Coturnix japonica: one gene and its partner. The protein of the gene in region 1 binds, or shares a complex with, the protein of each later gene. Links are inferred from orthologs where the notes say so. Each region holds a gene or a part of one and is shown in the gene's direction. Other genes may lie near its edges. The genes, in order: TLN1 and APBB1IP.

Region 1 (4,564 bases):
CAACCCTCCTGCCGGCACCCGGCAGCGGCTGCTCCACGACCCACCTCCAGCTCCGACATCATCCAGTCCCCCAGCAGCGAGCCGTCCCCCGCGGGGCTCTCCGCCGGCGCCTCATCGTTCAGCAGGAAATCGAGCAGATCCCCATCCGGCAGCGAGGCCGGAGGTTCGGGGGCTGCCATCGGAACCGGGAAGCGCCCAGACACAGCACGAAGGAGCCGCGGAGCCAAAGGGGGAACGGGGAGGCCAGGCCTGGGCGGCGGCGGGAGGAGGGGGGCGGGCCGGGCCTGTGGGCCCGAGCGGGGCGAGGAGACACAACGAGCGGGCGGGGGCCGCTCCGAGCAGCACCGGGACGGAGCAGGAGCACCGGGACAGCGGAGGGAACAGGCCGGAGCAGGAAGGAAGGACAGGCCGGAGCAGGAACAGGCCGCGGTGCCGCCCCGCTCAGCACACGGCCCGACCGCAGCGCCGCGCCCTGCGATGCGATGACGTGACCGCAGACCGGCAGCACCCGCGACACGTCCCGCCCCCACGCGGCGTAACGGGGAGAGGGAGGGGGGAGCGGGGAGCGAGCAAGGCACGGCCCGGTACGGCCAATACAGCCCAATACAGCCCAATACAGCCCAATACAGCCCAATACAGCCCAATACGGCCAATACGGCCCAGTACAGCCCAGTACGGCCCATTACAGCCCAGTACGGCCCAGTACGGCCAATGCGGCCCAGTATGGCCCAGTACAGCCCAGTACAGCCCAGTATAGCCCAGTACGGCCCAGTACAGACCAGTACAGCCCAGCACGGCCCAGTAAAGCCCATTACAGCTCAGTACGGCCCATTACAGCCCATTACGGCCCAGTACAGCCCAGTACAGCCCAGTACGGCCCACTACAGCCCACTACAGCCCAGCTAGAGCCCAGTATGGCCCATTACAGCCCATTACAGCCCAGCTAGAGCCCAGTACGGCCCATTACAGCCCAGTACAGCCCATTACGGCCCAGTACAGCCCATTACAGCCCAGTACGGCCCAGTACAGCCCAGTATAGCCCAGCACAGCCCAGTACAGCCCAGCACGGCCCAGTACAGCCCAGCACGGCCCAGTACAGCCCATTACAGACCAGTACAGCCCAGCACAGCCCAGCACAGCCCATTACAGCCCACTACAGCCCAGTATGGCCCATTACAGCCCAGTACAGCCCATTACAGCACAGTACGGCCCAGTACAGCCCATTACAGCCCAGTACAGCACAGCACAGCCCAGTACAGCCCATTACAGCCCAGTACAGCCCATTACAGCCCACTACAGCCCAGCACAGCCCATTACAGCCCACTACAGCCCATTACAGCCCACTACAGCCCATTACAGACCACTACAGCCCAGTACAGCCCAGCTAGAGCCCAGTACGGCCCATTACAGCCCAGTACGGCCCATTACAGCCCGGTACAGCCCATTACGGCCCAGTACAGCCCAGTACGGCCCATTACAGCCCAGTACGGCCCATTACAGCCCAGTACAGCCCATTACAACCTAGTACGGCCCATTACAGCCCTTTACGGCCCAGTACGGCCCATTATAGCGCAGCCCGTGGGCCGTGCCGTTCCGCGCCGCTCCGCTCCGCTCCCCCCGACGCATGCGCTGCGTGTTGCGGCGGGCGGTGCTGGGGCGGTGCCGGCGCTGTGCCGCTCAGCCTCGGCGGGCCCCAGCGCGCTGCTCGGCCGCGCTCAGGTACGGAACCGGCACCGGCACCGGCACCGGGACGGGCGGCCACGCACCGACACCGCGGGGCTGCGGCTGGGCGGGGAGCGGGGGGGAGGGGAGAGCGGTCGGAGCGGCGGCATCGCGGCGGCACGAGGCGCGGGGTGGGGGCTGCTGCCAACGCGGGGAACGTTGGGGTGCGCGGGGGGAGCGCTGCGTGATAAGACCCCGCGTGCGGCGGAGCGCAGCGGGACCGGGCGCGCCCCACCCCGGCTTGGCCGCCGCCCCTGGGCGCTCCGTGCGGGAGGAGCGCGGCCGCATCCTGTTTCCCGCACCCACGGCGCGACCGCGGCCCCGCGTGGGGAGCGAGGCGGTCCGACCCTGCGGCTGAACCCCCCGCCCGGCCCCGGAGCTCCGCGCCCCCGCCCGGCCCCGGGGCTGCATCTCTTCCAGACCCATATTTGGAAGCGATGCTGCGGGACGGGGACACCCCGCGCGGGCCGGCGGGCGTGGGTGCCGCTGCGCTGCGGGGCTGTATTGCAAGGCGGGTCGGGGCGTGGGACGGTCGGAGCATCCCCCGTTCCCGCCGTCGCTTTAGGATGCGGGTGGGGAAGGTGCGGTGCGGCTCCGTGCTGCAGGGAGCCGTCCCGGAGCCGTTCACCGGGCACCAAGTCGCCGTCCCCGCTGTCAGCCCGATGCCGCACGGCGCCCATCCCCGGCGGGCACGAACCGGCCGCGGCCGCCGGAGAGGAGGAAGCGGCGTGAATCAGCCGAGCTGCGTGGGGCTGAGTCACCGAGCTGCCCGCCCGGGATCCGCGGTGCTGCGGGACCGGCGCTGTTGCCTCTGGGTTAAAACATTAACTTCTGCCATTCGGTGGAGGAGGGGAAAGGCGTCGGAGCGTGAGACCGAACCGCGCTGAGCTCTCTGAAATGATTAAAAGGAAAAGCAAAAAAAACCCAAAAAAAAACAACCAGCAACACACACACACACAAGAAAGCGCAGAACAAAGCAGTTACAGTCCTTAAAGTGCTGTGCTGTGCCGAGGTGCGGGGTGCTCCCCGCAGGAGCGGAAGGGCTGTGGGAACTTCCTTTGGTGCGGTCACACTGCCGACCCTTTCCCCGAGCTCAGGGCAGTGAATTCGGTTCCTTCGGGAAAGCTCTGCGGCCGCTGGATGTGTGCCACGGGCGTGCAGTGGGGCTGCCTTGCAGGCACAGCCCATGCGGTAGAACCTGGTCGGGCTCTGCTTTGTTTTCTTTCTTTTCTCTTTTTTTTTTTTTTTTTTTTGCTAACATAAAACTTTCTCTGTACCCGTGCTTGCAGCAGCGCTGCTGTGAAGCCGGGAGGTATAAATACAGCGGCGACGTCATGGGGTGGAAAATCGCTCTGTGCCTCGGGGATGGCGGCGGAGGCGTCGTGGGGAAGGGAAGAGAAATGCAGAAGTGCCCGCAGCCGCTGCTGCTGTGCTGGCTTATCTGCCTCGCCTACCAGCGAGCGCTGCTGACTTGTTTGCTCTCCCTGGAGGGCGGCCAGTGCTGAAAATTGGTGTGCATTCATCACATCGTTTGGCTTTTCGTTGTTTTTTTTCACCTCCTAGTGGAGCAGCCTGGGGCTGGGAGTCCTCTTCTTGTACTTTGTCTGGTCTGTGCCCTCAGGGCACCATGACGGTGTGGCCCTTGTGCCGGTGCTGTCATCAGCACAGAGCCCCACATCTGCTTCCTGCCGTGCTGGTGCCTCCGCAGAGCCCACAGAAGGGCTCTCGCTGCCCTCTGATGCCCAAATGCACCCAACCCCTGCGGTGGACCCGTGTTCTGTCCCCATGCATACCCCCAGTGTGGAAATCTACCCAGCTCTTCCCCGTGCATCCCATCCCGTGTGAGGCAGCAGTCAGCCAGACCTTCCCCACCGCCACGTTGTTACAGGGCTGCTCTAAATAGACTACTTCTGCTTTACACACTGGTGGAGGGTAGTGCTCAAAGCACTTCCTTAGAACGTGGAAAGAGCAACGAGCCTCTGGTTTTTACGTGTCTTAAGTGCCTTGCACAGCGCTATTTGGGGGCACAGCACCATTTGGGGTGCAGGATGGTGGCCACGTGTGGCTGCTGCCGGCCCCGCAGAGCTGGAGCTGCCCGTGTCGCTCTGCAGTTTCCCCTCCAGCACATCCTGCAGCTCTGGGCCGATTTTGCAGCAATTCACGAGTGAGGCCGAGCCGCTCTGCTGGCCGGGTGCGGCATCCCGTTTTCTTTGCAGTGCTGTCCTGCTTTGGGACAGTTTCAATCACTTTGCTTGCCTCTGCTCTCCTCTTCCTCCCCGCTCCCTGACCCTGCCCTGCAGGCAGAAGCGGGGGGAGGGATGGAAAGGGCTCAGCGCTCCGTTCCGGGGTATTTTTAGATTTAGGAAAGAGAACGATCCCAGTCCCGCCGGCCGCAGCCGCCCCGCCCGTCGGTCCCCTCGGATCCCCGACGGCCTCTTACGGCTCCTGGCCGTGAAGCTGCGGGGCGGCTGCGTGCGGGGCCGTCCCGCTCGCGTTGCATTCCTCGTCGGCGGGGGCCGAGGGCCTCCGACGGGGCTCCTGCGCTGCATTGCCGAACGGCTCAGGAATGCGCAGCTGGAGCGGCTCCACGCGCTGGTGGAGGCGGCACCGCGCTCCTCCCGAGCAGAGCCCTGTGGCCGCCGGGATCTTGTGGGGAGGAAGCTCCAGAGCCCCCTGGAGCAGACTGCAGCAAGCTCGGTGATACCCCAGCCCCTGTCTCCTCGAGCAGCACAGTGTGCGCTTCCTGGGGTCCCCACAGGGCTCCCTGCAGGATCCCGATAGTGGGGTCAGACCCTGCACCACGTGAGGTTTTCTTCTTGTGGTTTCTTTGCCACAGTTTTAA
Region 2 (3,808 bases), on another chromosome or scaffold:
CATACGCAGCTAAATTATTTCACACACCTCCAACTCACTTCCCGGAAAACTCAAAAAGCCTTTCAAAATGAGTCTGGCTTTTCAGTGTCCCTGTTGGAGGCTGAGAGAGTTGGGGTTGTTTGATTTAAAGAAGGCTTCAGAGAGACCTTGTAGTGGCCTTCCAGTACCTAAATTGGTACTCTTTATCAGGGAATGTAGTGTTTGGACAAGGGGTAATGGCTTTAAAATGGAAGATGTAAATTAGGAAGAAATTCTTTACTATGAAGTTACTGAAGCGCTGGAACAGGCTACCTAGAGGAGTTGCGGATGCCCCATTCCTAGAGATGGTTGAGGCCAGGCTGGATGGGGCCTTGGGAAATCTGGTCTAGAGGAAGTTGTCCCTGCCTATGGCAGGGGATTAGAACAAAAAGAATTGACTTAAGCACTTTCCAGTAACTAATTGACAAATGCTAATGTCTGTAATACTAGTTATATCACTAAAATATCTTCCTTTTTCTTTTACCTTAACAGAGTTTAGGAGTGGAGACTGTACAAACTCCATCCCCCAAAGTGACCAACAAGGAATTCAGCTTCACTGTAGGTTTTAAGGATTTAAACGGTAAGGAGTTGAATTGACTCATTCATGGTTTTTCTACTTATTTTAAATACCTCACAGCAATGAATATGAAAAAAAGCTTCAAACACTTCTGATCTAAAATAAAGTTTAAAAATAGAACTATTTTGATGGAGTGGTGATATGTTTGTGTGTCTCAGTTTAGGAAACTCCAAAGGGACCAAGTGTTTTTAAAGGGACATTGCTTGGTCTGACATAAGAATCGGACTTTTTAGAATGTCAGAGTGTAGAGGGAAATCAAAAAAAGAAGGTCACTAAAATATTTCCAAATAGGCAACCTCTTTGTGAAAAGATTTAAGTTAATAGAAAACTGTGTTACCTCAGTGTGAAGTCAAAGCTGTGGAAGTATTTATTTCCAGTGGAAATACTGGCTTTAGTTTCTTCCATTTTACATTACTTATTCTCATTTTGGCTTGTACTGTCACTTCTGCATGTACAGCTGCTTGCTTCCCTGACATGAGTCAGGGAGTTGATCTGAGCTTAAAAAAGAATGTGCTCTTTCTTGTGATTTTTTTTTTCTTTTTTGCATTTTTCTGGGGGGCTGGTTGTTTGCATGTTTGCATATGAGCTGATTTTAACTAGTGTTATTGTGCCAGAATGAATTTACTACTAAGCTACATAATGGTAAAATGTCTCTACCAGCAAAGAGGTTAGAGGTATATAAATAGAGGATTGTAAGGCAGCTTTTCCACTGAAAAGAAACACTTATGAAAATGCACTGTCAGTGTAACAGGTAAAGCAGAGGAAACGGAAGTGGTCCAATAACAAATTCACTTTGTTTGATGAATGATCTATTCTTTGTTGGACTGTATTATCATACATATTGTGTAGTTCAGGGCTCTCCATCTCTTTCCAAAATTCCACTTAAAACATTTACAATTGGTCATTCTTTTCTTGAACTAGACTCTTCAAAGTGATTTAAACCACTGAATGCAGTGATTCTCATAGAACCCTTCTCTTCTAGAAAACTAAATTATCCTACAGGATGTTATTCCAAAGTATCTCTTTCAACATGTCTGGTTCAAACAATTTGAATTTCTTGCATCCATATCACTAAGCATGTGCCCATCAACCTTGTTGAATCAGGGCTAGATTTCATAAAACATACAGATCTGAGACCATAGCAATGAAAATGAAACTTCCTGTCCTGTTCAATTTGTATTCACGGAGTTCCTTCTATTCAAAACTTCAGTATGACTAGATTAATAGCCATTCCTAAAGCATGTTTGTTTTCTTGAACCCATTTAAAAGCCTTTCCCATAACCCTTGTATCTTACAGTAACCATGTCTCCTGTAATTTAATCTTCACTGAACTGGTAGCAGATTTTTTCATTGCGTTCACTCTTGATGTATTTTTTGTTTTCTTTACAGAATCTCTAAATGCCCTAGAGGACAAGGACCTTGATGCCTTAATGGCTGACCTTGTAGCAGACATAAATGAGGTTGAACAGAGAACTTTACAAGCCCAGAAAACTTCTGGCAACCAGAAAAGTGTGGTCACTCAGCCTTCAACAGACATGGATAATGACTTTTATAGTAAATTAAGTCCCTGTACTACAATTACAGAACAGTTTAAGAATGACTTGCCCCCTCCACCTCCAGCCCCTGATTTAGACCTTCCGCCACCACCACCACCACCTCCTCCCGAGCCACTCAGCCAGGTAAGTCGGAGAGGAATCTTGTTCCAAGAGTTCAGTAACTTGTAAATTTAGGATTGGATTTGCATTGGAACAAATGTGGGTATCCAGTAGAAGTCCATGTATAAGTATCTTAAGCAGACTCTACACTAACAAAACAGCTTCAAATTGTAGAGTAAGATTTTTCTTTTATTGTGAGTGTGGCAGTTTCTGCCAATTCCTGGACATGTTGCCCATTCCTTTTGCATTTCTAATTGCCATTCTGATAGTCCAAGACAGAACTTGATCACTGAAAATGGTTTACTATAATGAAAGATTTTTACTGATATATTTTTTTTCCTAAATAAGTGTTGTTGAGTTAGTAATGGAGAGCTTCACTTAGACATCTGTGCAACGGGTGGCCAAATATCCCATCTTTTTGTGAAGCTATCACTTTGTTTACTGCAGTAAACACTACTGCTACTGATGAGAAGGTTCTCTGGATGTTTCCCTTAGCAGTTGCTGAAATTATCAGTGGGTGCTACTTTTAGAAAATTGACTTACCAATATGCTAAAATTTCAGTTATCACAACTTCCTCCATGTTTGTTTTTCATGCAAATCTGTTCTAACAACTGAAGTCAAACATGGCATATGTAGTAGAAGTATTTGAAGTTGACATGAAATTGTGGATAAGGAGATAAGAATTTACCCTTTTAGTTCTGTGGGGAGACTGTGTGTGTTAGAAGAGTGATGCAGTCCCAAAAATATGAGTCTGAAATCCTGAAGAATTTTAAAGTGTCTCTTTGAGTATTCATGTGCAGATAAACCAGGGTGGAGAGGAGCTCTTTACACTTAGGGAATGGAAAGGTTTTAGGGAAAGTGAAAGGTACTCTGTCAGATGGTGTAGAACTATACCAGTCAGTTTTACCTAAAACTGTGAGCAATTCATTGCAGCTTAAATGCCTACACAAACTGAGTATGAATTACCTCATTATCACTGGTGCCTCTGCTTTTAGCCTAACACAGGAAAAAAAAAAAAAAAAAGCAAAAGAAACAGAAAATTTGTTAAGAAGAGGACATTGCTGAGGTATTTCACTGGATAAAGTTTCATTTTATGTATAAGACTTTTTAGTACTTGGTGTGAAGAATGAAAATTGTAAATGTGGGAAGATCTTCACCATTTCTCTATGTCTCAAAGATAATAGTTAACTTATCTTAAAAGAGAATCAGTATTTAAAAGAACAACAACTAGACTTGGTTCAGAAGCTGAAATCTATCATTTAACTAGTATTATTGATACAGAAGAGGTGCTGTCAAGACAAGCTCTGTCCATTGTATTACAAATACGTCCCCATCTTGGTTTAGACCTTTAAGGAAGTACCAGATAACGTGATCTAAAGCTCACTGAAATAACTGTGCTTTGCAGTTCCGTTCCTTCTGTCTTGTATTAAGCTTAGTTTTTACAGCCAGATCTCAGGTTGCTCTGCTGAAGCTTGTTCTCTGAATACTCTTATCCTGCATAGTGTGAGGGTCAAGCAAGGTTTCTTGACTGAAAAGAGGTTGCACCTGCTAAACACA

What was found.
Region 2: the proteins of TLN1 (region 1) and APBB1IP are in contact, whole or in part, in a crystal structure (PDB 4W8P), measured with the Mus musculus proteins. The link is inferred for Coturnix japonica from reciprocal best matches to the Homo sapiens genes TLN1 and APBB1IP. Residues at the interface, in NP_035732.2 of Mus musculus: Leu1492, Ala1495, Thr1496, Val1498, Ala1499, Thr1502, Ser1503, Cys1506, Asn1507, Arg1510, Val1526, Ala1529, Lys1530, Ala1533, Asn1534, Thr1536, Ala1537, Val1540, Ile1543, Lys1544, Asp1547; in NP_062329.2 of Mus musculus: Asn5, Ile8, Asp9, Met11, Phe12, Thr14, Leu15, Glu18, Met19, Leu21, Leu22, Ser25.

Annotation. Positions count from the first base shown.
Region 1 is NC_029547.1:8,425,842-8,430,405, forward strand, and holds the start of TLN1 (talin-1), read left to right. Parts: upstream 1-1,592; 5' UTR 1,593-1,719; intron 1,720-4,564. Other genes in the region: CREB3 (cyclic AMP-responsive element-binding protein 3), read right to left, coding at 45-179. UniProt on the Homo sapiens protein: High molecular weight cytoskeletal protein concentrated at regions of cell-matrix and cell-cell contacts. Involved in connections of major cytoskeletal structures to the plasma membrane.
Region 2 is NC_029517.1:14,640,439-14,644,246, reverse strand, and holds part of APBB1IP (amyloid beta A4 precursor protein-binding family B member 1-interacting protein), read left to right. Parts: intron 1-510; coding exon 511-598; intron 599-1,984; coding exon 1,985-2,274; intron 2,275-3,808. UniProt on the Homo sapiens protein: Appears to function in the signal transduction from Ras activation to actin cytoskeletal remodeling. Suppresses insulin-induced promoter activities through AP1 and SRE. Mediates Rap1-induced adhesion.